2 linked regions of the Alligator mississippiensis genome follow. The protein of the gene in region 1 purifies or fractionates together with the protein of each later gene. This does not show direct contact. Links are inferred from orthologs where the notes say so. Each region holds a gene or a part of one and is shown on either strand. Other genes may lie near its edges. The genes, in order: RAB6B and SLC12A4.

Region 1 (16,389 bases):
CTGTTTATTCCTCCATAAAAGTGGGACCTATATCCCTGCTGACTGGGACCCAGAACCAGTGTGGGCCCCCAAGAAACTCCAGGAGTTTCCATTAACACAACCTTGAGGGCACTTGGGCCTCAGTCATCAGGATGTGCAATCATAAAAACAAATGGGTGCAGTAGCACAGCTGAGGTAGGGATGGAGATGGGAGAAGATTTGGCCCTTGGTATACATTAGAGTAGCCCCTGAATCGCTCTAATTAATGCCTGACTGCAACCTTTCCCAAGGAGCCATTTTCTAAGCAAGAACCACTGGAGCACCAGCTAAGCCAGAGCATGTCCCTTACATTGTGAGATAGCCATCTTTTCACCACCCTATGCTGTCTGGGATGGGGGTCTATAAACCTCAGCCAGCAGGGACAGAATTAGTGGGAGACCTGGGAAGCTAGGACTCTGCAGAGCTTAAGGTATTGCTGATAAGCAATCAGGGTCAATGCTACAGCAGGAGGATAAAAGGAGGACAGATCTAGGCTGGTGCAGTCAGGGACCTGGAAGGACTGTTTTGCATCCCAGCAAGCAACTGTGAGAGTAGAGGGAGATGGCTCTGGCTGGGTTACAGGCGTGGTGGTGTGAAGTCATCCAAGGTGTTTGAGATGAGTAAGGTTGGCTGGAAGACTTGACTTCAGGGGACTGGGGGCATGCTTGGTAGAGTCTCAAGACCTCTTATGCCTCCTAACCTGTGTGTGTTGAGGAGAGGGGGGATTTCTCCACCCTACCTGTCTGGGCTGTGATGGGCTACTGGCTGGGCCTGCCCCACTAGTGTGATAGCCTGGCCTGTGAAAGACTCTTTCCCCAACCCATAGAATGGGCACTCAGATGTGAGGGGCAACCCTGATGCCCATCTATGTGCCCAGGGGAGTCCCATAGTCCTGGGAAGGTCTGTGTAGCTGGCTAAGCCAGTTCTAGGCCTGCCCTAGGTTCATGCACGTGATGGTTCCTCTCACTGGGACAGCACATAGCATGGGATCAGGGCAGAAAATAGGAGCTGCTATTCCTGGGAGCCAGCATTGTTAGTGCTGAGTGACTGTGCTGAGAGCTTTTGGTGGCTTGGGCAGAAGCCAGCTGTCAGAGTTATTGTTTACTGCGGACTGAAAGAGCTGAGGCAAGCATAAGACCTGTGACCAGCTGCCCCTCTGAGCAAAGACCAGGAGACGGCCTCTAACACAAGCCTGTCCCCAGGGAAGGAAGCAGAAACTAGACACTGAGCCTGGACAGATGGGACAGTTACACCAGAGTAACTCACTGTGGCTTTGTACGCTGATGTGAATTATGGCCAGGAACCAGAGCAGCTGTTCCAGGGTAGCTGCTTGCAGTAGGTGCTGTTACAGCATCTTGCCACTAGATAACAGGCATGTTGTCCCAAGCCTACCTGGGACAGGAAGCAGACAGATAGAACATACACTGGTATAATGTACACCTGCATAGCTTGACCTCTGTTTTTCAGTGCAGTATTTTTCCAGCACTATTTGAAACACTTATTCTGAATAGGAGCTTATTTTTGCTTGTTTGCTTCTTGTTTCCATTTGGTATAAAGAATGGTTATACCTGTGTAAGCAGCCACTGTGGAGAAGTCCATACTACTGCCTCACCTCCCCCTTTCTATGTCAAACTGGGGGGGGAGGGGCGGGAGGGAGGGAGGGAGGAAGGGAAGGAGTTTTTGCTTGCCCCTGAGACCCTGTCTTGTGTTTTTATCCTTCTATATTGTGTTGTTTTGGGCACAGATGTAATGCTATAGCATCCAAGCTAGACTAAACAGTGGTATAGGACCATGTCACACTTAAAACATGTTAACTACACTTAAAATATAGAAGTAAAACACATGCTAAATGCCATCATAGTTTTGCAACGTTAGGCCCTCTCTGATGAGGTGTATCTCCAGATCACGTTGCCGACCATACTAACATCTGACTGCTCCACAGAGGTAATACAATAAAGGGACTCCAATGTGGTTGGGAGGCTGGGAACGACTAATGGCTGTTTGTCACTCCCAGCACCATACTGGAGCCTTGAAATGGCTCCTGCACCATGCAGGGGCTGGGACGGATATAGATCTGTCCTTGCTCCCAGGCCCTGCAGCACCCTGGAATGGAGTCTTCAATGGCTCCAGCACTTGGGACGTGTTCTTGTATAGATCATGGTAAGCATTACTGTGAGTTAGAAAGTTTTTCTGAGCAGTTGCATGGCAATGCTTGCTACAATCTATATAATGTGTGACAAGACCCACAGACACCTGCACCTTGTCAATGTTGCACTTCCACAATCCAGGTTATGAACTCATTTTCAAACCACTCTTGTCTATTGGTCTCCAAGAGCAGCCCCATCTCTTCTGTGTTCCCAGGTGGGTGTCTTTAGTATCCTAGTATCATCTGCATTTCCATTTGTGCCCTATACAAGAGCAGCTCTTGGTTCTGCCATAGAGTGGTGCCAAAAGGGTGGGTTGTCTTGGTCTCCAGAGGCTAGTAGACCTCTATTCATTGCTTCCCACCCCCCATCTCTGAAAACAGTCTGTTGGAATAGATGCCCAGATGTAGATCTAGATCCCTTGCTTCATGCCTTCCCATCTGACAGTGGCATGCTGTTTTGTGGTACAACCACAAAGGAGTCACAGCGCCTGTTTTTCTTGTGGCACTGTGACTCCTTTGTGGTTGTAGCCCTAGTGTGGTTAGCAAGGGGCTTTCTGGCATAAGCATTAGCTGTCAGCTTCAAAAGCAAGCAAATGGAAGCCCTCCTGGCACTTGGATCTGGAGCACTGCTCAGAGGAGGAACAATCCTGGTGCCAGTGTCATTTTGATTGTTTTTGAGACTAACAGTAGCAACGGAAGGTGCTCTGTGTGTATCGTGGGACTGAGAGACCCAGGTTCAATTCCAGGTTCAGCTCTGCCTCCTGTGATGCAGTTAGGCTGTGTATTTGAAGATCAGAGCTGTAGTGCTCCATCTCTCCTCTATAAAACAGCTGTTATGGTGTCCTACTTGCCAGGCTGCTGCGAGGCTACCAATGTGCTCAAGATGGCTTAGGTTGGTTGATGAAAGGGGGAGCTGATAAGGACTGAATAAAGTAAAGAAAAACAAACTAGTATTGGCAGTTAGTAAAGTTTGAAAAACACTGATCTAAAGCTTGAAAGACAGTAAGAAGGGATGCAGCTTCACTAGTAAAATAACTAGCAGTCTCTGAATGCAAGAACCCAACAGGAAAACTCTTTGGAGAGCATGAATGCAAGTCAGCCAAGACTGTGACTTCTGTGGTAGACAAAGGTTTCCTCAGGAAGTCTTCTCTCACATGCAGATTATAGTCTGTGTCATGGCCTTGGCTGAGATGGTGACTCTATTCCAAAAAGAATTGTTTTAAGATATGGATGCATCTGAAGGAATTAAACTTCTATGGTCTCCAACCATGAGAACCTATTTCAATTCCTGAATTCTCCAACATGGAGACTGGTGTGTTCATTGTCATGAGCCTTTCCAGGTCTGGGTGAACTGGAAATGCAACAGATGGAGTCTGTTTACCTTGTGATGTGTTTTGGATAGTTGGTGCCGTGTCTTTGCACATAGATACGGAGATCATAAGCTGTGAAGATCTCTTGAAATGGGTAACTTCTATGACACAACAAAAATAATGACTGGGGAAGCCAATACCATCCAACCATTGGAGTGTATTGAATGATTCCCTCCTGATTGCATGGTTACAGAATTAGTCTTTATTCTAGTTTGGCAAATTGCATCCACAAAAGGGCCTGGGAGTGACTAGTTTGGGACTAGTGTGTGAGAGATGCAAAATGCAACTTTCAATGATGGGATTTGTTGCTCTGAATAATCAAGGTACATTATTCCTTTTGAGGCAAAAAACTTAGTGACAAGGCACTTCACGCTTCGTGAGGGGTTCATGTACAGGGTTAGGTGGGGGGCAGGGGATAGTGCTGACACTGGCAAGTTTGCCTCAGAGAAGCTGATAAGTACCTTTGACTTTTTTGGGTTTCCTTTTATATAATAAAAGGAAATTTTATTGCATTATTTTATTGAATAAAATGCATTTTATATGGGCATTGGTTACCATAGGGTGTGAAAGAACAAGCAGGTGGGCTTAAATAAGGCTCTGCTCTCTCTCTGTCTCTTTTAGCCAGTTTGCTAATTCCTGCACATGACCCACCTGACACATCCCAGTTGGTTTATCAGACTGGGTGGTGCTGGCTGCTACAGTGCCAGACACTGGCAGATGCTGCATCATGGGCAAGACTTCATGTCTTATGGTCATTAAGGGCCACAGTTCTAACACCACAGACATAATGTCACATGGCCACTTGGACAAATGTGCAGAAGTGCTTGGATGCACTCGCCCATATGGCACACACAGAGGTGATTACATGTGAAATGGAGGTGCATGGCTCCTTTAGCACATGGACACAAGGTGTCTTCTCTTCCAAAGGTGGCTCTAAAAAGCTCTGTGAACTTTCTTCAAGAGCAGGAGTCAGAAGAGGAGAGCCCCAGTCCAATTTCTACTCAAGGAATTGTGTTTGACTGCCCATGGTTCTCTCTGCAATTCCTATGTCATGTGGTAGACTGGTCCCCTTGCTGGCCAGTGACCTAGTGGTAAAGCACAGAAGTGGGGGTCAAAAGGCCTTGTTGGAATTCTGGATTTGTCACCGATTTAGGGGCTTCACACTAGACCCCTCACCGTGCTTCACAGTTTCCCACCCGTACAATGGGTATAATGAGGTTGTTTGGTATTTGAGGAAACCGTGATCTAAAAACAGCAGCCAGCGCTTGCCAGATGTGTGGAGTCCTGTAACATAGCTACATCATATCAGGCATTCTTAACTGAAACCTTCTTTTTTCACTAGTAAGAGAAAGCTCCTCTCTGGCCCCACTTGTAGGCCAAAACCTAGGCCCAGTTTTACAAAGGTACTCAGGTGCCAAACTGACCTCTGATTGTATTTATTTCTGTTTTTAAGACAAGGTGTGTGTCTACATATTAGTTCCGCATCTACATACCTTTGTGAATCAAGCTCCTAGACTCTAGTGGGAAACCTGGTGCTGTAGAACTAACCTTGGTAACAACACTGAACCCAGTACCATGCTTGGGGCAAGTAAGTCTTATGGGTGCCATGGTGGCAAAGGCTTAACTGTCCAGGACTGTGCATGAAGCAGTCTTCCCTTCTCCTTTTCCTTTCCCCCTGCTCCCTGGTACCTTCTGCCTCTAGAAGCTCTGGCCATGGGCAGTGCATGGGAGCTGCAGCTGAAGTTTGCTGCAGCAGATGCCCATGTTGAGTAGGCAAAAAAACCTTCCTTGTTTTGGTGGCAAAAAAAGGGTGACATTACCCCCACCCTTAGAGTGGTAATGGAGTTCGCTGCTCCACAACTTCACTTCGCAGAATGAGACATGCTCATTAAGACACACTTCTGCACTGATGCCGAAACATTTTGGGCTAGATTTGGAAAGTGCAGGTGGAGCAGGGGGCAGGACCTCCTCCCCCTGTACATTCTGGCATGTTTTTCCCTTTTAGGCAGGGACTTGTGCCCCACTCTCACACCTGCATTTATGCTACTACACTAGAGCCTGTCTGGTCCCAAGAGGAGCTGCTTAAATACCATGAAGGAGTGGTTTCCAGACACCTGTGTTCCTTCCTTGCCTCTTGGCAGAGAAAGCCTGGAGATGAAGGAAAAGGGATTAAAACCCATTAAGCACATATTAAATATATAAGACAGACCCTGGTAGATATTTGCATAGCAAGCTTGGGGATTTCACTACCCAGCTGTCATAACTGTGGTTTCTGCTTATTTTAAAACTCCCCAGAGCTGGCTTTCATTCTGAAGGCTAGGATTTTCAAAGTCCTGTGATACCCCGTTCTTCATGATTCCTACAGTTATGAAGGTTAGCAGCCACTTCATGCTCTGTTCACTATCCTGACCTTACCTGGGGATTTATTGCTATTTATGTTAATAACTAGAGCCTTTAGGTGTCTCAAGATTGGGACTGTGTTGTGCCAGGTGCTGTATATGTACATTTTAAACTCTCTGGAGGGAAGAGTTTTTGCCCATCTTTCCTAACTAGACCAAAAGTGGAAGGAGAAATGGCACAGGCCTGGAGAATATGCTTCCTTGACAGAGCACAGTGGCAGAGCTAGGAATAATGCTCAAGTATCCTGAGTCCCAAGCTAGTGTGTGTCATCTTTATTAAACCTTGCTGCATATCCTCATACACTAATACTTGCTTATAGCTGTTGTGGTGCATGATGAGCAAGTTCACGGATCAGTAACCCATGAACTCAGCCCAAGCTCAAGAAGTCTAAGAGCAAAGGACTATGGAGAAGCATGTCCTGTGCCTCACCCACCTTTATCCCCAGTGAAGGGATGGTCCTGTTGGCCTTAAGGGGAAGTCTTTCCAGTAGTACTTGATCCAAAAAGAACTGTGGGGGGGGTGGTGCTTGGATGAACATTCCTTGAAGTGTGGGAGAAAGAAGTGAAGGACTTTCTCGGGCAGAGAGGGAAAAAAACTGAAGATGCCCTTTTCCAGCTGGTGCTGTTTGTGCTTTGCCTTCATTTGTATGTGAGATGATAGTTGCCATCTTGCCCAGCATACTAGGGACCTTCAGAGGTAAAGCATGAGCTATTATAGCTTGAACTAAAGAGCCAAGCCCCTCTACCTGCAGAGTCTCTGTAGATTAAGCACAAAGAGCCATTACTTACCAGTGGGTTACGCTTGCATCCAGAAATCAGTCCATTAAAAGTATATACAATGCAGTCACTCTGTTCATTCAGAGACCCCGCAACAAGGAAAATGGTGGTATGGCTTTACTGGAGCAATGTAGTCTTTAATTTTTACTCCCTTAAAAATGTTTCTTATTTAGTGTGTGTGGCTTTTATTACTTTTTTTTTTTTTTTAACCAGTTGGTCCATAGATCTTGTTAGTCACTGAATGGATTGCTGTTGTATTATTTTGACGGTCTCCAGCTGCTGTTTCTTTAACGATCTCTTATTGACAAGTTTTACTGTTTCTGGTAATGTTGCCTTTTTGGTCTTGCATCCAGCTGTGTCAACAGCAAAGGACCTTAGAGGGTGATGGCTTTTGGCATGCAAATAAGGTGCATGCCTTTTTAACGAGTGCTTTCAACAATGTTTTCAGCCTCCATGCAACATTGGTCTTGACGTGAACATGGAGATGCAAATGTGATTCCTCTCTGGAGCCAGCATGGAGCATTTGGACTGAAGTTGTGTGTCTTAAGAACACCTTGTTGCATCCATTGCATCACGTAGGCTGGATGCAGCAAAACCAGCCTGTGGGTTAAAAGAGCACAGTAGACAAGTGGAGTTTCACAATCAGCCACATAGACATCTTTTGATGGATAAAAATGGTCTGGCTTTCTTTCCCAGCAGAGTTATGCTCATATCCCCTGAGGGCACTAAACAGGCCCCCGTGCTATAGTTTTCAGAGATCTTTGATATTCTTGTTTCCTCACAGGGCACATACAACCTCAGGACTTAATGTGTTGGCTTAAGCAGTCGGTTCCAGGAAGTGCCCTTGCAGTGTGCTGAAGGTAAAGATTTGCACCTTAGAGACTAACTAGAACAGATGCACACATAAATAGCATAAGCTTTTGTGAGGCCAAACTCGCTTCATCAGATGCTGTGAAAGGACAGGCACAGAAAATTTGCAGTATGTTGTCCTGTGCTCCCAAACTCCAGTGGGCCTGGTGCACAATTTGGAGCCCTTGCCCTACTGGTATGGCAGTGAGCATGTGCCCCAACCAAAATCAAGACCATATTGTTGTGTTCCATGCATATGCCCAGCTGAGATGGTCCTTATGCTGAAGAGATAAAAAATATAAGTGGGAAGGACTGAGTTGCATCTTAGATGAGAGAGTCCAAGGTCACGTCAACCCTGACCTTGGACCAGTGCTCTAGAGACCTGGCTTCTGTACCTATCCTTTCTCCTTGGTAGACAGGGTGAACAAAGAGGCACAGCAAAATCAAGCCAACTGTAGTGAGAATTGGGTGGAATAAGCACAGGCATACAGTGAAGGAGAAGAACTAAACCATACACTTGAATTGTGGAGCAGTAGGCAACCTCTGGCTTTGTCTCTTTCGAACTAACTGCTAGCTGCTCCCTCACTGAGGGACCATTTCCCAATCCCTAACTACCTCAGCCTCCTTTTAAGAAGCATCTCTAAACTATGACTTCTCTTACTACACCAATGAGCCTGGCCTTGGTTTAACTAGTCTGAAAATAAAGCCTTGTTCCACTGATAAAGGCACTTGGTGAAGAGAGATATAGGGCAGCTGTCACCCCTGTCTGCTGATATCACACCAGTAGGTAGCCCTTCCTTCTGACCACCACACTGCTCTTGCTTTGCTAGGTGGCACTGGGGTGTCCTGCCCTAATACGACCACGTGTCATGGTGGGAAAGAAGGGCTACTTTGAGCAGCAGTCACTGGTGGAGTCCCAACCCATGCCAGTTTTTCCCCTTCTAAATCAACTTAATGTCATCCCACCCCTGATAAGTAAGGGAAGCAATACTGAAGTAAGGAAAACTGTAAGTGCATCCATGGTGAATAAACAAGATGGTTGAAATTAATCTGTGATCTAGCAGCATTGATCTCTGGAGATTTATATATTGGCTCGTCCTGTTTGCTTTTGATTTCATTTAACCTATAACATCTTTAAAAAAAACCCAAAAAGCATGTCCATTTCAAGAACATTGTTAGTCTGTGGTTCCCTATAACTAACACTGTGCTTGGGAATGAATTTGGCACTTGAATGAAAAATCAGGCTGAAGAAATGTAGGTGCAGGATAACAATAAGCAGAAATACGTCTGGGTGGGAAGAAGTATACAGGAATAGTTTCCACTTCAGTTGGGATATTTGTAATGTTCTTTCATTAGGAGCAAAACCGGGCAAAAGGAGGACAAGGGAGGAACAGAAAGGAGCCTACAGAATTTGAAATAAAGTATAGAAATGAAAGGAAAGAAAAGATTTGACTTCAGAAGAGTGGGGAGAATAATCCCAAATCTTAATATTCCATTGGAGGAATCCAGCTAGCAAGTAGAACTGGTTAAAGGATCTCACTGTGAGAGAGGGCAGAAAATTCAATATGAACAATAGCATGATGATAGAGGCAGGGCACATTTGTCCTGTAAACCCGAGGTGCCATATCATGGAAAAAAGGAGATTGGCCTTCTGAGACCAGGACTGGGATTCTGGGGCTGTGGCAGCCAATTTGTGAGGAAAGATTAATGCATTAAATAAAAGGGCCTATTTAAATGATGACTGAGGGAGCTTTGATAGATGTCTGCAAGTACTTGAGAGGTGTAAGCAGTAAGGTACTGGAGAAACTTCAATGCTCCTACCAGATTTAATTAAGAATAATAGCATGAAGCTGAACAAAAGGAAATATAGTCTGAATATCAAGAGAAAAATTCCTAACTGAGAGGTCTATTAAACTGTGTTAGAGCTTCCCAGGGGATATGGTGGAAGTCTCGTTGCTGGAGTCATTTGAGATTACACTGAACAAAGCACTTGACAATACTCTGTTGGAGAGAATCCTATGGCTTCTGGGAAAGAGCTGAGGTGGGGAGATAGACTATTTTCTTTCTCCTTTCTTGCAGTCACTCATTATAGGCATGAAGTGGGAACAGAAGATGAAGCTAGGAATGAACCATCTTTGCTTGTGCTCTTCCATGTCCGTCTCATCGCAGCTTGCGGGTCTGGCAGGCAGGCGTGGGTCTTGACAAGAGCAACGCCATTTTTTTTTTTTTTTTTAATCCCACTCTGAATCCATCTTGGTCCCATGTCCTTGTGCAAGGACATCAAGAGGAATGGGGCAAACTCCAGCTGAAACATCTATCCATCTTGGTCCCAGGTCTTTGTTCGAGGCCATCAAGTGTAGTGGGCCAACCTCCAGCGGGAACATCTGTCCTTCTTGGTCTGAGGCCATCAAGAGAAGTGAGCCAACCTCCAGCAGGAATTTCTGTCCATCTTTATCCTAGGTCTTTGTCTGAGGCCGTCAAAAGGAGCGGGCCAACCTCCAGCAGGAACGTCCGTCCATCTTTGTCCGAAGCGGTCAAAAGGAGCAGGCCAAACTGGAGCGGGAAGGTCTGTCCATCGTGGCCCCAGGACTTCGGCCCATTGCTCTTGGCGGCCCGGCCCTCGGGCAGCCCCGGCGGGAAGGCGCGTCCCTCTGGGTGGCGAACCGCGTGGCAGGCGGCTGGTCCCGGGGGGGGCGGAGCGGAGCGGAGCCGGGGGGCGCTGGGCAGGTCCCGTTCCCCCCCCGAGGGCGGTGCACGGCGCAGGCGCGGGTGCGGGCGGAGCCGCCGCATCCCCGCCCGGGACGGCCCCGGCCGAGCCGCAGCCGCTGCTGCATCCCGTCCCCGTTCCCGCCCCGGCTGCACCATGTCTGCGGGCGGCGACTTCGGCAACCCGCTGCGGAAATTCAAGCTGGTGTTTCTGGGCGAGCAGAGCGGTGAGTGCTGCGGCGGGGCGGGGGCTGCGGCACCCCGGGGAGCCGGGAGCACCCCGCGGGATGCGGACCCGGCGCGACACGAGCCGCGCCAGCCTCGCTGCTGGGGCCGCCCGAGCACCCCGTGGGTGTCCCGAGGGGGCCGGCCGCGCAGATGCGCCCCGCCGCCTGCCCCCCGAGCCGGAGCCGGAGCCGGAGCCGCACGCGATGCAGTGTCCCGCGCAGCCCGCCCGGGACCCCCAGGACCGAGCCGCGCCTGCTTGCCTCCCCGCCGCGGGCGGCTCCCCGAAAGGCGCCTGGTTGCAGACTATAAGGGGCGACAACACGGAAAGTCGCGGGGCTCAGTGATTATTTTATAAGGTCCCGGGTGGCCCGGCGTACAGCCGCCCGGAGCGGGGAGCTGCTGGCGGCCGAGAGCCCGGTCGGTCGCAAGCCTGCAGCTCTCTGTTGCGGGTTGCTGGGGCTTTCAAAGCAAAGCGGTGCTGCGCCTGTCTCGCAGCCTCTCTGACCAGGGAGGGAAGGCGGGCGGCACGGAGGTCCCCCCTGGCATCTGCTGCAAGGTGCTCTTTGGTCCAGATCTGGCAGCTGGCACCATCTCCATTTGCCTTCTCTTCAAGGCAGGGCTTGGCTTTTCCAGGCGTGGGTGCTGGAACAAAAGATCGCTGGACCGTCCACCCTGCCCGTTCTGCAGTGCCCTCCTCTCTTCCCTGCTTTGCTGCTTTTTTTTGTGTCAGCTCTTCCTTACCAAGGGCAGCCTCGTGCAGAGGATGCCCTTTCTTCAGCTTCAGCTACCTTCTTTAATGGAAGCTGCATACAGGATTCCCAGGTAGACAGGCGTTCATGGGAAGGACATACAGAAATACCCACAGGAGAATCCACCCATTAGCTTTCTGGTTGTGGTAAAGGCAAGGGCAGGGAAGCAGACCAACTTCTCAGCAGCTGCGTATCATGCACTTCTCCATAGAAGACGAGATACAGCCCCGTAGCTTTGCAGGCAAATTCCCCAGCCTGCCATAGCTAGGAGTGCTGTGACAGGCTACACAGAGCTAAGCAGTTTTAATTATTTTTGGAGGTGCTGGATGAATATGCTGTCACATAGAGCAGGGACCAAATGATCTTGGCTCCACATGCACAGACACAGAGCTGCATTTTAAAACCACTGTCAAATCTCTTATTTGCCTTTATCAAAACAAGAACCCCCCAGCTGCTGGTCAGTGCTCACAACCTTTGATTATTCTCTCCTCCCTGCCCTGGGCTTCCATGTTTTGCTTGCCCAATAGTGGCTGGCCGGATAATTGAGAAGAAAAGACAGCTTGACACTTCTGCTGTTTTCCTGACAACTTTTATGCTGCTGTTAAAATGGTCCTTCCCTGGCTTGCTCCAACTCAGTTGCCTTGCTCAGGGGCATGTTCCCAGCCTAGGGGCAGGGGCCGGGGCCGGGCAATTGAGATTGACGTGTTGTCTGAGCTCTCTAGCTCTGAAAACCCAGAGGGCAGGATTTTTCCAAATGCTCAGCACTGGTTTAATTCTGCTCTTATTGAAGCCACTGGTCATTTATTCATTGACTTGACTGGGTGCCGAGTTATGTCGATGCTGTGGACGGTCAAAAATTCCACTGTAGTCTCTGAAATTGTAGGTTTTTCCACTAATCAATCCATGGTGCTGACAATACAGCCTGTCTCCTCTAATTAGCAACGCTGTTCTGAGTGGGCTAGCCCTTGGCCACTGAGTAGAGAAAGTAGCCAGCCACATATTCTTCCCCAAGAGAAAGCCTTGTCTAGACCTCCTTGCTCATTCTCCCCCTTCCATGTGAAATAACTCCCCTCAGTATGTAGGCTCCAGTATTTCTCCCTCTGATGGCAGATACCACATCCTAAACTAGCCAATTTGGCTGCTTTCTGGCTAGCAAATAACCCTCTGATAACCCACAGTTGGTTGCTGTCAAAAGCCCAGCAATAATTGAAACCGGACCACTTTTCAATAACGTTTCCCACCCTCCATGTCCCCAGAGTGGAATTTCCAAGAAACGGGGTGGGGGGCAAGCTCATTAAGCTGCGTTCAGTCAGTGCGGAGCCATTTCCAGACAAAGGCAGCCTGTGATCAGAAGCTGAAGAACGTTACCTTGAAAGGTGTTGCTTGTCTGTAAGAGGGGGAAAAGGTTCACTGAAGAAACCTTCACAGCTGGTATGTTGAGGCTGATAATCTGCATATCACAACGGTCCTTTTTATACTGCTAGCATTTTGTCTGTCTGGTTGCCATCACCATGGTATCTGATCACCTTGCCTTTCACCTCCCCAGCATTATTGATTTCCCCAGCTTTACATCATTAGAGGGGGGGAAAAAGTCGTGGGAGTGCTCTTACCATATATTGATTTACAACTGGTAATATTAACCAGCTTGAAACAAAATACCGATGTGCAGAGAAGCACATGATTATCTTCTTCAATACAGTGTTTGTTTTCTTTTATAGAAAAGATGAATACAAGTGAGGAGGGCGGAGGCTGCTTGGTAAATTAACGTTTGCAAACTTCACTTTGATTCCATAATTGCCTTTTTTTCTTAAGAGGTTCCTCAAAATCATGGCAGTGTTTCTGCTGTTCAGATCTGCAGATTTCCTAACTGTAAGAGTTTATTAGAGGAACCTAACAATTTGCATTATTTGGCCTACTCTTTTATTCAGAGTTTAGGCTACTCATTGTCTCTCCCAGGCATCCTTTTATCAAGAGCGTGTTCAGCAGAAAGGTTCCTGAAGAGAAAGGATACGTTCTGTTGCTGCAGGCACTTCCCCGAGATGCGTGTGCACACCTTTGTGTACAGATCACTATTATTTTTCTCTCAAGATAAATCCCCTCTCTGCAAATAAACCAGCTCACTTGGATGTGAGACAGAGAAAGCCTTGAGAATCTGAAGCAGTTGCATCAGCTTCTCCTCATTTTATGCTAGTTCCTTGTCATTCACCTTTCCACTGTATAGGAGCTGCTTGATGAGGATGATTGTAGATCTCTTAGCTGCTTTCTCAGCATACCTGACAGAGGCAGGAAGGGTTAAAAATCTCCCTGTCAGTTCTTGCATAAAACTGAATCCGGCACATCCCACCAGAGCCAGAATGGGGAGATTTCCCCCCCAGGCAGTGAAGACAGTCTGATTGAAGTGGTATCGATTGGCGGCTGTGGAGCTGTGTGAACTCAATTTTACCAGGACATGCAGCTGATACCAGAGGTGGCTCTCCGATGCACTTGAAATACACAGCCACATGGGGTAGGAGCCAGAAGGGACAATGGCTATTTGCAAGGGGCTTCATTTTTTCTCCTGCAAAAGAAGTCACTGCTCCTCTTCTCCCTAATGTAGCATCCTGCCTGCATCCTTGCCCTGCTGAAGTGTCCTGGGTTCTTAATGACAAAGGACAGAGCTCTGGTTCTTCAACTAGTGATAACCCTTCTGCCCACTGTCACCCAGACGAGTGGTGCTATGGGCATCTTAGCACTGAAGTGAAAACCTGAAATGTGTCTTCTGTTAGTGAAAAAGCCCAATATAGGACTTATGGTCACTTCAGAAGACCTAAGTCTGGCTCTGGTTTGGGCATCCTACCAGCCCACTGTTTCCTATGATCTGATGTTATTGCATGTACGAGCACCCATAGGCAGAGAATGAAAGTGGTTTATCCAACAACAAGGCTAACTTGTTTTCCTCCCACTGGATTTTTATTTATAGTAATGTTCCCATCCAGTTTTTCAGGTCAGCTGGATCCATGCTGCTGTCAGTCATGAGAAGCTAGGTGAGCTGAGCTGGATTCTGAGTTCTTTTACATGGCTGCATGTCAGGAGGAGCCCCACTGGTGTCAATGATGTTATACTGGTGAAACTGAGCTGGATATCATGTGTGCATAGTACTGGAAGACTTTTCTGAGTTACTAGATTGTCTTAGTTATAGTGCTTGGGGGAATAGCCAGGCCAGATTTTTAAGCCAGAAATCTATTTAACTGAAAATCTGGGTTTTGATTAGCTCATACATTTTGTGAGTTTGTGATCTTTTCACCAAATTGTTTCTGCTCACAAAAAGGCTTAAACAAATCTCCAGCCTCTGGGGGAAAAAAGCTGAAACCACTTTCAGTTTTTTGATTAGGAATATCTTGTTTTGAAATGTATTTCAGTGTTACAAACCAGAATGTTTTAAAATGTTTCCAGGACCTTGAGATAGAAAGTGTGTGCATGTCTTTGGGTTGAACAGAAATGCAAAACTCTAAAACTCTTGATTCAGAGATGATACCTTTTATTAGACCAACTAAGAAATTGCATTAAAATTAGGTTGAACAGAACATTTTCATGCCAGGAGTTTTAAAAAAAAAGAAAAAGAAATTATCTTTTCTGATATTTCAGAGCTGCTGCTGAACTGAAATTTCAGTTATTTCTTCAATTCTCCCTGTGACATATCAGGAGCAGGTCTGGTCCTTAAGAAAAAAAATAAAATTAAAATTGTGATGACTTTTGTCACACCCACTCATCTGCTCTGCCATGAGAGTGCTGGAGGGCCTTTCTTGACATGCTGGTGGGACAAGGGAAATTTCAGTCAGTCTAATACAGTAGGTTTTATTCTTCTTTCACGCTAGTTTCATGCCATTCTGACTTTGGTGACTAATTTGCACTCATCTAAAAGGAGAATCAAACCTAAAACATATAGACACCTGGTTGGTCTTCCAATGCCTACAAAAAAACAGCTTGGCTGCCAATGGGCTGTGGTGACCAGTATTGTCCCATTGCTTTAGTTATGCTTCCCTGTTTGTCGGTATTTATTGCTTGTTTCTTGTTTTTATGCTTGGATTGTAAGACCTTTGGAGCAGAGACTTTGTTCGGTATTTGTACAGCACCTTGCACAATGGAATCCTGCTCCATGACTGGGGATTCTGGGGGCTATTGCAATTTAAACAATAAATAATAAAATCAGTAATTCCTGCATCTTGAAAATCCAGGCTTACTGGATGCATTGTTTTGTCTAGGCTTGTGTGTTGGTTCCAATGGGAGAATACCCCCTTCCGACCTATTGCCTTGAGACCAGTGTGTGCACCTGTTGTGTACCAGTTTGAGTGTGAGAATTGCTTGAATTAGCTCTGAGGACAGTCTTAGTTCAACTAACCTTGCTTTGTGAGTTCAGCATAAGGACGATTGTCTCTAACTTCATGAATTAGTTTCAGTGAAGACCATGCAAATCAACATAAGATGGATTGAAGAATGAAGTTGGCTATGGGGGAAGCAAGCATAAGGCTTGGGAAAGGGTCAGTTGGTTGATACCAAGCTTGCATGTCCCTCCAAGTTCAACATTTCCCTTAGACAAGGTCCTGTAAATTAATTTTTGTTCATTCGGTTGTATAGATGACAAATAAACCATTCGCCTTTCCAAAGACACTTAGTGCAATATATCTCCAGAGAAGTTTCATGGTAATTTAACATCTAAGTGTTGAATTTTCCAGATAATGGGCAATTCCTGCAATGGGTTATAGATCCGCTTTTTTGTAAATAGCCAAACAGTGAATTCATATAATTTTTCACAGCAGATCTATTGATGCAAGAATATGTGGTGTCTATGACCAGGTTGGCTAGTTACAGGTCAAAAAGCACCACTTTCTGTAGCTGGGGGGTGGGTGGTTATTAGTAGCAGTGGGATTAGGGGTTGGGAGGGTGATTTTTTTTTTTTTTTTTAATTTTTTACATTGTGCATGTTGTATTGTAACTCTGAGAACAGAGCAGGGCGATACATCTCTCCAGAGAGGGTATTACAATACTTATGCACCACTCCTGCAGCACTGCTAACTGAAGGAGTATCTCTCAGAATACTAGTATGGCCTGAAACATGCTGATTGTTTGGTGCCATGATTTGTTTCTGAGCAGGATTTATAAGACTAGAG
Region 2 (15,987 bases), on another chromosome or scaffold:
GGCAAATTGGCTCGATGGTCGCACCCAGAGAGTGGTGGTGGATGGGTTGTTTTCAACCTGGAGGGATGTGGGCAGTGGAGTTCCCCAGGGCTCAATCCTTGGGCCTGTGCTATTCAACATCTTTATCAGTGACTTGGAGGTGGGTGTGCACGCTGTCCAAATTCGCTGATGACACAAAGATGTGGGGAGAAGTGGGCACACTGGAGGGGAGGGACAGAATCCAACTAGATATAGACAGGTTACAGAGGTGAGCAGGTGAGAATAGGATGGAATTCAACTCAGGCAAGAGCAAGGTGCTGCATCTAGGGAGAAGAAACCTGCAACATACCTATAGGCTGGGGAACACCCTTCTCAAGAACACAGTGGCTGAAAGGGATTTTGGAGTCATTGTTGACTCCAGGATGGACATGAACTGCCAATGCGAGGAAGCAGTCAGTAAGGCTAACCGCACCTTGTTGTGCATCTACAGATGCATCACAAGCAGGTCCAGGGTGGTGATCCGTCCCCTCTATGCAGCATTGGTCAGGCCGCAGTTAGAGTACTGCGTCCAGTTCTGGACGCTGCACTTTAAGAGGGATGTGGCTAACCTTGAGAGGGTCCAGAGGAGGGCCACTCGCATGGTCAGAGGGCAGCAGGCCAGGCCCTACAAAGATAAACTAAAGGGCCTGAATCTTTTCAGCCTCCACAAGAGAAGACTGAGAGGGGATCTGGTGGTCGTCTATAAACTTAACCGAGGGGACTAGCGGAAAATAGGTGAGGCTCTGTTCCCTCAGGCACCACCTGGGATAACAAGGAAAAATGGTCACAAATTGATTGAGAGCAGGTTCAGGCTTGATATCAGGAGGCATTACTTTAGGGCTGCCAGGCTCTGGAATGGGTTTCCAAGGGAGGTGGTGCTCTACCCTGCCTTGGGGGTCTTCAAGAGGAGGTTGGATAGATATCTGGCTGGGGTATTATGATCCCAGCACTCGTTCCTGCCCAGGGCAGGGGGTCAGACTTGATGATTTGTTCAGGTCCCTTCCAACCCTAGAAACTATGAAACTATGAATTTTTATTTGTTCACATTCAGTTTGGGTAAAGGGATGAACAATATTTTGAGCTAAATATTTTTCTTCCAATCATTTTTCTCACTTGTCCCCTATATGCATTGTGTTTCTTGACCTTCAGTCTAGTGATTTCATTGGTATTATGAATATATGCAAGATCTATGAGATCAGGTCCTTCACTGTGTAATAATATTTGATTTTCCTAATCTAATTTGCATATTCCATTTGAATTCCAATTGAAACCAGTGCTTTGTCTGTATGTTTGAGAATTGTAGCTTTTTCTCTTTCTTTGAAAATTAGCAAAATATTAGTGGTTTTGTAGGTTGTGCATGTGTTCTGTCTTCCTGTTTCTATGTTCACTGTTTAGTTTGTTTCCAGATATGATTATGAATGAAAATACAACCACAGACTGCTTATATTTGCCTCTAGTATGTCTTAATACAAGCAGACAGGTAACCCATGCACCTTTTTGGTATGTTGTGAAATATTAAGGAACCTAGACTGTGGCAAATGGAAGACTGCCACTATAGACCAGTTGAACAAGTGTACCATTTATGATTACTACCACCACCAGAGGTAACAGCCACTTACAAAATCCGTAAGTAGTAATTAGTATTTACAACCAAGAGAAAAAGTAGGTTGAAATTGCTCTTCTCCTGCAATCTAAATATGATGCAATAAAGGTGCTTTGGGCAAATAAGCTCTTATCTTTACTTATTGACCAGCCCCAAAACAGTAAACATAGCCATTGTCTTTAGAAAAAAAGAATAGCTTTGCCACCATAAACATGCATAGTTTCCTAGGGCCAAATTCCCTTAAGATATGTGGGTGCAATTCCCTTTCAAGAGGGTGGGACTTGCTGGCATATGCCTGAGAGGAGAACTTTTCTTAGCTGGAGGAATTTCAGTCCAGGTACTTAATGACTCCTAAAAATAAAGTGTGGTTCTGCAAAGTTCTGCAACTAACAGTAGCCCAGATCTTCTGCTTGGTATTTGAAGAAAGGCAGCTCCCTGCAAATTCAATTCCAGAAGCAAAACAATTGGAGGAAGAGAAGGGAACTCCTATTCTTGATTTCTCCTTCTGAACACACAGCATGCTGCAATTAAGCTTGAAGCTCACTTACTGAAGTTCCTTTTTCTTGTTCTAGGACAGAATAATTAGACTGACCACTTCAAGCTTAATGATATTAAATGGAAGCCAAACTACCCTTCATGAAGAGTAACATGAACCTGCACAGGATAGTCATTGGGAATCATTGCCCCATAAAATTCTGCTTTTGTTTCTTAGTAATCCCCACATCCCGTTATCATCCTATCCATTTTCTTGGGATTATCCAGTTTTCAATGAAAATTATTATAGTTAAATAACTGTCTAAATTTGGTATTTAGGTATGATATGAGAGACATAATTTAATCTCAGAAGGTTAATATGACTTTTTTGGACACATTTCATTTTAGGTTCTTGACCGTTTTCCCCTGGAGCAACTGGTGTAGCAGAGATGGATTATGGAACTAAATGGAGTACTAATTTGATACTGTAGTACCTGTCTTTCTAAAACTAAAGAAAGGATGGATTTTCAAAGTTTTCACTCTTGGTCTAACTCTACTTTGATTCAAGCTGATGGTAAAACTCCTACTGCCTTCAGTGGGAGTAGACAACATACAGCAGGTAACTACTTCTAAAATGAGAGAACAAAACTGTACTCATAAACTCACAAATGGGGATGTCAGGGGACACTTCTCAGCTAAACAAATAAAACACCCAAACCCAAATGCAGACATAAGTCTGTCATGTATTAACAAAAAGAAAAGATGTAAATACATTTTAGGTTATATAAAACTTTGAAGTCTTAGAAGCCTTTCTACCTGTCTGATCTCAGCTGGGGGGTGTAATTGTTCTGGCTTTCTCTAGAGGTGGTCCATCAGTGAATTTGTGTTAAGTGAACTGAGAGGCCTGCATTCCTTCTGACAACAATCACTCCGCAGCATGTATCCTCCTTGTTTATTTCAGATCCCAACTAATTAAAAGTGGAATTATTATTCAGCTCTTGTGAACAAAGAGTTCTCCCTCATGTCTGTCTCCCATTTCTGCTTTTTTTGAGAAGCTACACATTACTCTATTATTAATGGCAAACTCTGTTCCAGAAAGCAGGGCAAGTTAAAAAAATCTATGACTTATTCCTGTAAGATCAGGAAATGCCTAAAATAGGCCTTCTCCCTCTCTTCCGGCCAGAAGGTTTATTTTCACCAATGGGCTTATGTAGAGCCCAAGCACTTTTTCTTTGTCTGCTGGCAGGAAATATAAAAAAAACCCATTTACATGGCTCATGAATTTACGTGCTACTTTACATACACAGGCAAATTTCCTGCTTAGGAAGTCTTTTTAGTTATAAATCTCTAAAATCAGGTTGGATCAAGCCAGCACTGAATAGTAAACCTCACAGCTGCTTCTCTTGTTCTTTTTTGCTGACCTCATGAGTTTTGCAGAACTGGAAGCATTAATTTAACCAAAAAGGCATCCGGCCTTTTTAAGCTCAAAGATAACTTGCCAAGAGAAATATGAATGTCCAGTGTGTTGACTCTGAAGTTTAATTATAGCATTTTAAATGCAGACCCTATTTTAGGAACAGAATTTCAAAAATAAAACTTCTTATAGTTCTAATATCAAAGCGTAAGATACAGAAAATAATTTGTTTTCTCTGTTTTGTATATCTGGCAACATTTTATGTATATGCAGAAGTGTAACTAGGTGGTATAAGCAAGGCACTGAGCCCCATGCCAACTTAGAGGGGATGCCAGAATGCCCTCCCCTGAGTCTTTGCTACAGCAGGCACAGCCCCATGATGCCCAGCCATAGAAACCAGACAGACCAATACCTAATAGTGCATTGGGGGGTGGGGGGTCAAGCAGAATGGCACCCCCCCTCTGGACTTTTGCCACAAGAAGCATAGCTCCTCACCCAGTCGCATTTTTGGGGGGTCAGGGGGAAACAGGTCACCAGGGTCATGCCATGGGGCTGCTGCAGCTGAGGCCGGACATTAGGAAGAACTCTGTCTCTCTATGGCTGGTTAAGCATTGGAGGCTACCCAGAGAGGTTGTGGAATGCTTGGACGTTTTTAAGCACAAGATAAACAGGCACTTAACTGGGTTGATCTAGTCATGGGCAATCCTGCCTTGAGCAGGGAGTTGGACTAGATGATCTCCTGAGGTCCCTTCCAGCTCTGTTCTAGAATATAGTTGGGTTCACTTAATTTGCCATTTGTGCAACATGAAACCAGAATAATGTTGAGAAATGACTGCAGAAGTACAGAAATAAAGAGAAGAATATGGGAAGAGGTATACTACTTGAAACTTTTTTAAAATTCCTTTTAAAGATGCATCAAATTTTAAGATGACAGTGTCCCTTAACAGCAGATCTTTGGAATATGTAGTCAGTTAGCTATTCTGGGATTTTAATTTAAATAGAGATTATTCTTATTTTCTTTTCAAACACAAACATAATCTTGCAAACTACTGCAGTTTTATGTGAGAGCCAAGCAGGAAAAATTATGCTGAGGGGAAACCAGCATGGATTCATAGTAGGTAGATCATGCCTGGCTAATCTAGTCTCTTTTTATGACTTTTTTTTTTCCTTTAGTAAACATTTTATTAGAAAAACCAGACTATAACAAAAGACTCAAAACGACCCCAGACAGAGGCCTCACAATGGCTAATACAACATTTCAAATAACATAATACAAAACATTGGGATTGATATCATATTGCACGTCGTCTCATTTGTACACAGTATATACAACATCCCTGAGTATTGGCTATCTAACACATATTACACATGTCGTATTAGACATCCTGTACGTCCTCCCCCCCCCCCCCCAAAAAAAAAAAAAAAAAAAGGAAAGCAAGAACATTGTGTGCAATACAGGTCTCTTGTTGTCCCTATCCCATGTGCAACCCTAGCCAGCCTTTTGTACTCACAATGCTGACTCTTAGTTTAGCCTATACCTGTGTGGGGCTGAAACAACCCCCTGAAGTCCAGCTCTTGCCAGAATTTTTCCTCCCCTCCTTCTTTTGTATTTCCTTCTCTAGCTCTATAGAAGTGCAGCTCGTGCATTGCTAACTGCAGACACTCTGTTGTGGAAAAGCTCAACCCCTTTAGAGCCAACAAGGAGCGTACTTTCCATAGTGCTACTTTGGTGCAGGTGATTAAGACCCGCACCCCCCACGTCCCATCCGTCCCCTCTGATAAACCATAGAGAACATTTCTGGAAGTGACCCCCCGTTCCCTTTCCCGTATCCTTCAAATAGGTAGTCACCTTCCCCCACACCCGTTGTGCATAAGAACAGTCCCACAGTACATGTGTCACCGTCCCGGGCTCATCGCAGAGCTCCCTTGGGCACTTGGGGGACCGAGAGAGTCCCCAGTGATAGAGCACCTGTCGCACTGGCAGAGCTTTTCGCACCGCCCTCCACGCCAGCTCCTCATGCTCCCCTTTCCATTCCTTCCCCACCAGTCCTTTCCACACCCTGCTGACTTGCTCCGGTCTCAAATCCCCAACATCCGACATCCTCTGCTTCCCTCTCAGGAAATTGAAGACCTTTTTGGCATCTCCCAGCCCCTCGATCCCTAACCCCTCCAATCCTTCTTTCGCAACAAAGGCTCCAAGTCGGGCATAGGGCAGCGACATCTGCCAAGCCCATGCTCCCTGCCACACACTCCCAAACAGGCCCAGCCTTCTCAGGAGCCTTCCCCCCCAGAACCTGCAGAAATTGGTCACGGTGCCCGTTGCTCCCCTCGCTTCCCTCACCACCATCTTCAAAAAGTGCACGTAAACAAAGGTCTCTATGTTGGGAAAGCCCCATCCCCCCAATCCCTCATCCTTATATATCTCTGTCCTAGCCACTTTTTCGGTCTTCCCCACCCAAAAGAAAAGGCACAAGGCCCGCTGGACCTGCCGGGCCTGTAGCCAGGACGGGGGGTACACCATCGCCGTGTACAGGATTAGTGGCAGCAAGCACTGTTTGATCGCTTGCACTTTCCCCCTCAACGATAACCCCCGTGTGCTCCACAACCCCACCATCTGCTTCACTCTCCCCTCCAACACTTCCCACGCCTGTTTCCCTTTCCCCTGGATATCCATCCAGACGCCAAGCACCTTCAGTTCCTCCCTTTCCACCTGTAGCCCAAGGTTTCTCAAGTCCCCCCAATTCCCTACCGCAAGCACTACGCTCTTGTCTACGTTCAGTCTTGCTCCGGATGCCTCCCCAAACTCGTCTACGTGCTTCAAGGCTCTTCCCAGAGACACCTTGTCCCTCACTACACACGTCGCATCATCCATGTATAGGAGGATTTTCAATTCCCCTCCCTTTGGCACTCACCCCGCTAATCACCCTATCCCCCCTGATCCGTTGTGCCAGAGGCTCGATGGCGCAGACAAAGAGCCCCGGCGATAGCGGGTATCCCTGTCTCACCCCCGAGTCCACAGCAAAGGCTTCCCCCAGGAAACCCCTCGCCAGCACCCTGCTCGTAGCCTTTCCATAAAGTGCCCGCACCCACCCCACAAATTCTCCCAGCATCCCCATCCCTTCCAGGACCCGAAACAGAAACTTGTGCCCAATGCTGTCGTACGCCTTTTGCAGGTCCAGACTCACCACTAGCGTGTTCCAGTTTCGTTCTGTGACATACGACAGCATGTCCCGAAGCACCCAGAGTGCTTGTGTCGTTCGCTGCCCCCCCACTGCGCACATCTGTTCCTCACCCAGCAGCTGCGGTAACACCGCCCCCAACCTCGCTGCTAGGATCTTGGTGAATAATTTATAATCGGCATTCAACAAGGTGATTGGCCTCCAGTTCTTAATGTGCTCCCGTTCCCCTTTCTTGTAAATCAGGACCACGACACCCTGGTCAAAGCCCTCTCCTACCTGACCCCGCACCATGAATTCCTTAGAAAGGGCCAAGAGATCCCCCTTCACTAAGTCCCAAAACTTCCCGTAGAACTCCACCGGGATCCCGTCTCCTCCCAGTGTCTTCTTTAGTGGCATCGATCTCAGGACGCCCAGTATTTCGCTTTCCGTCAATTCCTTTCTCAGACTCTCCCTCCCTTCCTCCCCCACCTTTCTTTCCAAACTCCGCACCAGTCCCTCCACTTGTTCCTGCCTCACCGCTTTCCTATGAAACAAGTCCTTGTAATATCTAGTCACCTCCCGCAAGACCCCTTCTACATCCTCCACCCTTCCTCCATCGGCCATGCGAACCACCTCCATCACCCGCTTTTTGCTTTTCACTCGTAAAGTGAAAAACCTTCCCCATTCCTCCCCCTCGTCCACCCACTGCGCCTTGGCCAGGAGCATCCGTTCTTTCATCCTGGTGCGGAACCACTTTTTCACCCCCTCTCTTGCCCTTTCCCATTCTCTCTTCACTGCTTCCCCCTTCTTCAACTGTTCCCACAATCTCTGAACTTCTCCTTGCAAGCGTACCAGCTCCTTCTTTTTCCGTTGTGCCTTTCTCCTCCCCACGTCATCGAACTACTCTCGCACGCACCCCTTAATTTCAATCCACCAGTCCCACCAGGTTGGGAAAAAGGGTTGCAAGGTTTGCCACTGGCGATACGCACTTTCGAAGGCAGTGCATTCCTGGGGATCATCCAATAAAGAGGCATTTAGTTTCTAGACTCCTTTCCCCTGCTTGAGCCCCTGCCCGATGCCCACCTCTACCCACAGCACACGATGATCTGAGAAACTCACGTCAATCAGTCGTTTCCTGCGGATCTCCAACCCCTCTGACACCAGCACAAAATCGATCCTCGATTGACCTCGTCCTCCCGGATCCACTCTAGTAAACACCCCTGACCCTTCCCAAATGTCCTGGAGCCCCTCGTCTTTAATCCACTCCCACAGCCACTTCCCCATACTGCCCATCCCGACTCCCTGCCCTATCCCAATCCGCCCACACTCTCTTTTTATGACCAGGTTACAAAACACCTGGACGCAGGAGTGGGGTAGATATTATTTACTTAGACTTCAGGAAGGTCTTCAATATGGTACCCCACCCCATACTGGTGAGCAAATTAAGAGGCTGTGGCTTGGATGATTACACAGTCCGGTGGGTGGCAAATTGGTTAGAGGGTCGTACCCAGAGAGTGGTGGTGGACGGGGCAGTATCGACCTGGAAGGACGTGGGCAGTGGGGTCCTGCAGGGCTTGTTCTTTGGACTGATACTCTTCAATGTCTTCATCAGCGACTTGGATGAGGGAGTGAAGTGTACTCTGTCCAAGTTTGTGGATGATACAAAACTGTGGGAAGAAGTAGACACACCGGAGGGCAGGGAACAACTACAGGCAGACCTGGACAGGTTGGACAAATGGGCAGAAAACAATAGAATGCAATTTAACAAGGAGAAATGCAAAGTGCTGCACCTAGGGAGGAAAAATGTCCAGCACACTTACTGCCTAGGAAATTACCTGCTTGGCAGCACAGAAGCGAAAAGGCATCTTGCTGGTGGACGACAAGATGAACACGAGTCATCAGTGTGACCAAGGCATCAGCAAAGCTAACTGCACTTTATCATGCATCAGCAGATGCATGATGAACAGAACCAAGGAGGTGATACTTCCTTTCTATTGGGCGCTGGTCAAACCGCAGTTGGAATATTGCATCCAGTTTTGGGTGCACACTTCAAGAGGGATGTGGATAACCTGGAGAGAGTCCAGAGATGGGCCACTCATATGGTTAAGGGCTTGCAGGCCAAGCCCTACGAGGAGAGACTGGGGCACCTGGACCTCTTCAGCCTCCACAAGAGAAGGTTGAGAGGTGACCTTGTGGCTGCCTGTAAGTTCATCATGTGGGCGCAGAAGGGAATTGATGAGGCTCTACTCACCAAGATGCCCCTGGGGGTTACAAGAAATAATGGCCACAAGCTAGCAGAGAGCAGATTTAGACTGGACATTAGGAGGAACTTCTTCACAGTTAAGAGTGGCCAAAATCTGGAATGGGCTCCCAAGGGAGGTGGTGCTCTCCCCTACCCTGGGGGTCTTCAAGAGGAGGTTAGATAGGCATCTGGCTGGGGTCATTTGAACCCAACACACTTTCCTGCCTATGCAGGGGGTTGGACTCGATGATCTATTGAGGTCTCTTCCAGCCCTAACATCTATGAATCTATGAAAAAGTAACAGAAAACCGGAATGTCCTCTATGGTGGCCACCCTAACATGGAGCCACTGGAGCAGTGATTTCCAACTGGAGTATTGCAGAACCCAGGGGGACTTTGCAATCTTCTCCAGTGTGCTGTGGGGTGCCATGCAATGTTAGGCCCATTAAGGGTGCGAGTAGGATAAACTCAGAGAGCTCAGCTAGGAATCCGCACACAGCCTCAAAGACCAGCTGCCCTGCTGTGGGCTTTCTGAGCTCTTTGCCAGAAGGATGGACCGGGTGTATGTCACCAAACGCGGGGTGGGGGGGAAGCTAAGAGCTGGCATCTTCTAAGGAGGCTTGAGTCTCTGGAGGGCTGCGCTGAGAGGTGCCGCTCCAAGGCCTGGATCTAGCAGCGGGGGTTATGCGCGCTCCTGGACTGTCGGGCTCAGGGAGGGGCGCAGCTCCCCGCCCCAGGCAGAGGCGGTGGCAGAGCCGCCGCCTGGGCCAGGGGGAGGTCAGAGGCCCCGCCGCTCTGCCGCGGGCTCTGCCACCTGCTGTGTGTCCGCCCGAGGGCGAAGCGCCATCCTCCTATCAGCCCAGGCGCTGTCCCGGGGCCGAGCCCCCTCCTGGCAGCCCCGTGCCCAGCCTGGGGGCCGCCCCGGCGGGAGGTGGAGCCCGCGGCCGGGTTTCCCGGAGGAAGTGAGCGCACGGGGCTGGAATGCGGGGCCGGGCCGGGCCGGGCGGCTGCAGACGGCGCGGGGGGAGCCGCGATGCCGCACTTCACCGTGGTGCCGGTGGACGACAAGCGCCGCGTGGACTATGCGAGCCTGGAGGGGCTGAGCTGGGTGGACTACCGGGACCCGCCGGGCGCTGCCGACCCCTATGACACGGCCAGCTCGGACGGTGAGTCCAGTGCCGTCCCGCTCCCCTCCCTCCGCGCCCGCCCAGGCATCCCGGGACCCGCGACCGCCCTTTGTGTCGCCCCTGGGGAAAGCGGCTCTCGGCTTCCCGACCGAGCGCGGCGGCACCGCGTGGAGCGGGCACCCTGCCCCTGCCCCTGCGCTCGTGCCGGGCGGGCGCGGGCTGCGAGCCGGGCTGAGGCGGCCCCGGCACGGCTGGGCGCTGCGGCGAGCCGAGAGGAGCCCGAGCGGCGGAGGCGCGCCGGGACTGGGCAGTTCACTCGGCTCCTGCCCGTGTCCTGCCGAGCCGAGCCGAGCCGAGCCGAGCGAAGCTGAATCCTCCGAGTTTTGGAAGGCAGCCGGCGGGCTCCAGGCGACAGCTTTTATTAGACCAGCTAGAGAGTTGAAAAAAAAAAATCTCTGTGCAAGCTTTCCGCCGCAGGCATCGGATAATGCAAAGATTGTAAACTTTCTCCCAAGTAGAAAATTCGTGTTCATAAGTTTCTACCTGGGAGAAAGTTTACAATCTTTGTATGCTCCAATGCCTGCGAAAGGGTGAATGTGCCCGAAAGCTTGCAAAGAAAAAAAATGCTGTTTGCAACTCTCTAGTTGGCCTAATAAATAAAAGATATTGCCTCTAGCTAGCACACCGGCTGCTTGTATACTTAGACCAACGCAGCTTACAACCTTTATCCCTGAGTTTTGAAATGCTCCTTTCTGCTGTTGGCAAGCTTGAGGCCTGCAAAATGCCTGCTACTGGGAGGTTGGTGCTTTGAAAAAATCTTGCCTAAGGGCTGTTGTTCTTAGTCCTAGTCTTTAAAGGAGTGGTATGATGAGAGATCAAGACAGATGACACATGCATTTCTGGTCATAGTGGTTTTTCTTTGTTCTGTGTCTGTTTGCAGACACAAGGCAGATGTGATGTCTAAGTTCTTCATGCTCACTCACTTTGACAACACATTTGTCTTGGCTGATCTGAGTCGCACTTTTTAATTGAGAAAAAAGTCATTTTAGTAACAGTTCTTCTGATGGCCCTACAGCTGAAACAAAACCAAAGAGAAACCTAGACAATGTCTAATATCTGAATCACTTGTTGATAGTTTGAGTTAGGCTTCAAAACACAGTGAAGTGGCATGTATTGGTTGTTCCTGGATGTGGCAGGATGTTGTGATTTGTGAACGCAAGCTGTTTTTAAAAATGTGACAACTGATAAGAGGTTTGTGCAAATATTTGAAGTGCTCTCTTAATTAAATAAACTCATGATAGTGAAACAACACTAAGCAATATAATCATAGGTTGCTGTTTGATTTTTTTTTTTTTTCCTCACTGAGTTCTTATGCTTTTGGTCTGCAGTCCTGACAGCTATGTTTTATATAAAATCTGTGCTTAAACAATTTAGCCAATACTTTACTAAATCATTTTAGCATTGTACATGAGTTGTTTTTACATTTCTTTTATGAATATCTGCTTCTTGGTAGGTTTTAACGTATTTAATGTAAAAGGATCATGTGGGGAGAAAAACTTTTTTAATGGAGACGACTGTTCAGCTGGTGACACGTGTCAGTGCTCAGCCTCCGGGTGTTCTACTGTGAATTTTAATTAAAAAGTAGCATTTCAAGTGATCAATGCCAGAGATTCATGAAGAAGAGTAGTTCAGGAATAAAGTCGGCATTCCAGGATTATTCTGAAATAGTTGTAGCTGTAAGTGTTGTATTTTCTTTCCCTGCTACAGCTGTGCTGGTCAAGTTTTGCTTCTAAACAACTCGTTTATTGTGTCAGTTCAGCCCTCAGGAGAAAAATCTTTTCACAAGCATAGTAGGGGTATCTTCTTTCAAAAACTTTTCATGATACAAGAAGAATTTACATAATTTTAGGCTTTATAAGACAATGTTAATGAGCCATTCTTGCCCACAGGATTAAGCTTTTAAGAACTGGACATATCTCACCACGAGGCCTTCGAGGGGTGGCTTCTAAATAGGAACGCTGCCCTCTTGAAAGGCCATTGCAACCATTCTCGGTCCTTGACCCTCACTGTAAGGGGGAAAGCATAATATAGTAGTTGGGATGGAAGCGTAATTTGCAAAATCTGGGTTCAATACTGGGTTCAGCTAGAGGCTTCCTGTTTAATCATGGCTGAATTACTCTATACCTCAGTATCTCATTTGCAAAACTTCTTCTCTTCCTTCAGTCCTTCATCCAGTTCTCTACTGGATTTTAATTTTTAGTTTCTCTTGCTCAGTGGCTGGCTCAGTGTGGGGCAGCATCTAGTTGATAAATTATTGCAGTCCTGAAAAGGTCTTTTGGATTGAAGAAAGGGTAAGTGCTGTTTAAAGCTTATCCTTCCGCATACCACAAGCTTAAGTAACTGGCCCCTAATGGCTGTTAGCACTTTAGGATTCGAGGTTGAAGAGGCGTGCTCTAATATGAGCCGGTGTATGGTGGCTAGTATATAAAATGTAGAAAATAGATCTTTTGTTTTAATCTGATTTAGGAGGTTGAAGTAAAAATTGTAGGAAAGTTCAGGTCCTAACTTCTTCCCATGATGGACCAACCCATCAGTTTCTGATCCCTTTTGTGCAGGGATTAGGAAAGATCACTGGTACTGCTATAAATTACTGTAATTTGACCATCCTGGGTAGGAGTGCATGTGGCCTAGTTTTTGTCCTATTAAACTACCACTGAAGTCAATGAATGGGTTTATACCACAGATAGAAGGAGCACGTGACTTTCAAAGTAGCGGTGAAAGCAACATTGCTTTTAAAATAACCAACTCTCTCTCTTCCATGATATCATATAGCTGATGTGAGCTGGCCTTGTTTGTTTTTGCTACCTTTCAGACTGTAGCACAGAATTTTGTAGCCAACTGTATTGCTTTACTTTGAGGCTGACACAACTCTGGTAACTGAGTTGTGTTTTTTTGGTTGAGCTGTACCTTTCTTTACACTAATTATGCAGGTTGGTTCACAGGCGCATAAAGATGTATGGCTTTGCTACTCCTGATGACCCATAAACTCCTTTCCTGTGCACCCACAGCAGGCAGAAGGCTTCAAGAAAGGCAGGCTTTTCTTTTCCACCCTGGCAATTAAGGTCTGGGAAGTAAAGATCCACTTTTCTCACTGGTCTCCTGATAAGTTTCATGACTTCCTGATTGCTGAGAGCAGAGTGCTCAACCCCTGGCCTGTGGGCCAGGTGAGTTTGCCGAGCCATGTCATCCAGCATACAGGGGCCCCCACAGGTCTGAAAACTTGGCAGCAGGAGAGCAGTGGCAGCAATTGCTGCTCCCTTGCTGCCAAATTTCTGGATGTCTGGGGAGACCTGCAGGCCAGATAACAGATTGCTAGATTGGCAAGCAGGGGTGGCCCAAACCTGATCTGGTCACACAGGGGCTGGCTGGAGGCAGTATGGGCCCCAGGGAGATGCTGACCTGGGCCCTGATCTGGTGGAGCCAGGATGAGAGAGGCAGCAAGGGGCCCGACTAGGACTGAAGGAGGCAGTGTGGGCCTGATCTGGCAGTGTGGGGCTGAGGACTTGGGGCTCCAATCTAGCTGGCAGAGTGGGGATGAGGGAAGAGGTGCAGGGCCCAATCCTGGCACATGGGACTGGTCCCTGTGTCACTAACATGGCCCGCAACCACTGGCATGGAGGACCCTCAAGTCCTCTCGTCTCATTTCTGGTTCCTGATGCCTCTGTTACTGCAGGGGGCCAGAAGAAATCCCCAGTATTGAGGAAACCTCGAGTTTGGGGGAATTCAGAAAAGAGTGGGAAGCTCCTATTAAAGGCAGGCAGTGCCACATGGGTCTGTGGTGCCAGCTAGAAACCTGTGGTTCTGCAGGCTTGGAACTAGGGTTGCCAGCCCTCCAGGAATTGGATATAAATCTCCAGGAGACTGCTGAGAGTCACCCGGGAAATAACTGATAGGGCATTCATTAAAATAAATATTAAAGTTGAATCTGATTTATATAGTAGTCCAGCAGGTTTTTAAAATATAATAGTAATGTGCATTTGCCTTCCTGATCTAAAGGCATTAAGGTCCTTATATAATGTGATGAAACCTCCCGGCAGAGATTCAGAGAGAGTTGGCAGCCCTGCGTGGACCGCGGCGCAGGCAGAGGGCGCGCGGGCGACGCTCCAGGGGGTTCCATGGCAGTTGATGATTGTGTGTGTGCAAGAGCCTGGCAGTTGGTGGGATACTCGACACCAGATAAGGTAAACTTTTGTGAAGTTTCATATTCAAAATATGCAGTTTTAGCTTGTGATTCTAACCAACCCCCCCTGTGTTATATGGCCAACTTGTGAATATATGCAAGGGTTGCCTGACAAATGATCTGGCACTGTATCAGGTTGCTCCATGTGGTCCACTGATGCTACTGCCATTGCTACTGTGGTGAAACTGGATGCAGTTATTGTTGTGAATCTCACTGAGCGTGTTATTTTTGTAGCTTACTAGTGGAAGCCATATTTAAGGGCTTTGAAATAACTGAGTTATGGTATGATTCCTCAAATATAAGGTTTATCATAGCAGTACTAACTCAGATGGGCCCACTAGAATGATGATCAGGAAGATACTAGCTTCCAAGTTAAGACTATCCCCAGTACACTTATTTATTTCTTGTGCGGTAAGACAACTTCCTTCCGTTTCCAGAGGAACCTAATTTCTGTACATCCACCCCCTCCCCACACCTTTCTGGGTTTTTTTGTTTCATGGGAGTTTTTGTTCTTGAATATTTTTATTTTGTTTCATACTCGATCTCAAATGATATACTATCATCCAAAGTATTACAGAAACTAGACTGGCATAGAACTTCAGCATTAGTATTTCTTGACAATACTTTGTATAAAAACTGTATAAAAAGATATCCACAAAAGTCCTTTCCTCTGTTGCATATCCCCTGACTATAACATCACTCCAACACTACCACCTTGTATAAAAGCACAACTTAAGTAGCACATTTAAATAATTGCATATTTAATATTTTTAACCTCACAATTGGCATAAATGCTTACATGTAAATGAAACAAACCCCTGCTTGTTGAGCAGACACTATTTATTGTCACAGTTTATGACTAATTATGAAACTTTCTATTTGGAAAAAGTGATATCAAGATGCAAGTTCTAGTTGTGGGTCAGCAGAAGATGCCATATGTGCATTTCCTATTCATTCTTGAAATAAAATTTGTAACTCTTCCCCCCCCCCACCTGCTACACCTGGTTGCCATCCCTGCCACCGCAGTACATGCCTGAACAGCACCCCCCATGTACTGTGTGCACTTGTGGCTCCCACTTTAGCTCCTCAGCTGGCAGCTCACCCATGCCATATGTTGCTCCACCCTGCCCCTTGGCCACAGACAGTCAGTGAAGCCAGGTGGGGGGAGGGAGAGCCCAGAGCCCCAGCTGTTTTGCTGCAGGAACTTTGGAGGGGGTGGGGGGAGGAAGGGTGGCCAGGTGGGAGTCCAGGGGCTGCAATTTAACCTCCTGTTGGTCTCATGCAGCCTGTGGGACATCAGTTGGACAGCCCTGATTTAAATTAAAGAGAGTGGCCTGCCTGATCAAAAAATTATTGATTTCCTAAGTTTCAGTCTTCAGAATTATTATTTTTATTCATTTTTAGAAGACTGGGTTGTTTACTTCACTCATGTGTTTGGTCTCTGCCAACTCAAGTGTGACAATCTATTAAAGGTGCACTGATACATTGGTCCATATTGTATTGGCAGTGATAAAAGGAAAATAGACATTATCAGCAGTCACCTTTTTTTGGCTGATGTGGCCAATAATATTGTGATAAATGCAATAAGCATGCATGCAGCCACTGCGTGCACCCCAGGGCAAGGCATAGGGGACATGTGCCCCCCTGGATCTGTGCATGGGGTGCAGGCGGGCTACCTGATGCAGGCTCAGGGCTGGGGCTGTGCTGGCCTC

Evidence for each region.
Region 2: the proteins of RAB6B (region 1) and SLC12A4 purify together in Homo sapiens (co-immunoprecipitation; 3 studies listed by BioGRID and IntAct, with this or other methods). This does not show direct contact. The link is inferred for Alligator mississippiensis from reciprocal best matches to the Homo sapiens genes RAB6B and SLC12A4.

What each region holds. Positions count from the first base shown.
Region 1 is NC_081830.1:30,389,752-30,406,140, reverse strand, and holds the start of RAB6B (ras-related protein Rab-6B), read left to right. Parts: upstream 1-10,336; 5' UTR 10,337-10,422; coding exon 10,423-10,492; intron 10,493-16,389. UniProt on the Homo sapiens protein: The small GTPases Rab are key regulators of intracellular membrane trafficking, from the formation of transport vesicles to their fusion with membranes. Rabs cycle between active GTP-bound and inactive GDP-bound states.
Region 2 is NC_081833.1:45,497,300-45,513,286, forward strand, and holds the start of SLC12A4 (solute carrier family 12 member 4), read left to right. Parts: upstream 1-9,866; 5' UTR 9,867-9,941; coding exon 9,942-10,074; intron 10,075-15,987. UniProt on the Homo sapiens protein: Mediates electroneutral potassium-chloride cotransport when activated by cell swelling. May contribute to cell volume homeostasis in single cells. May be involved in the regulation of basolateral Cl(-) exit in NaCl absorbing epithelia.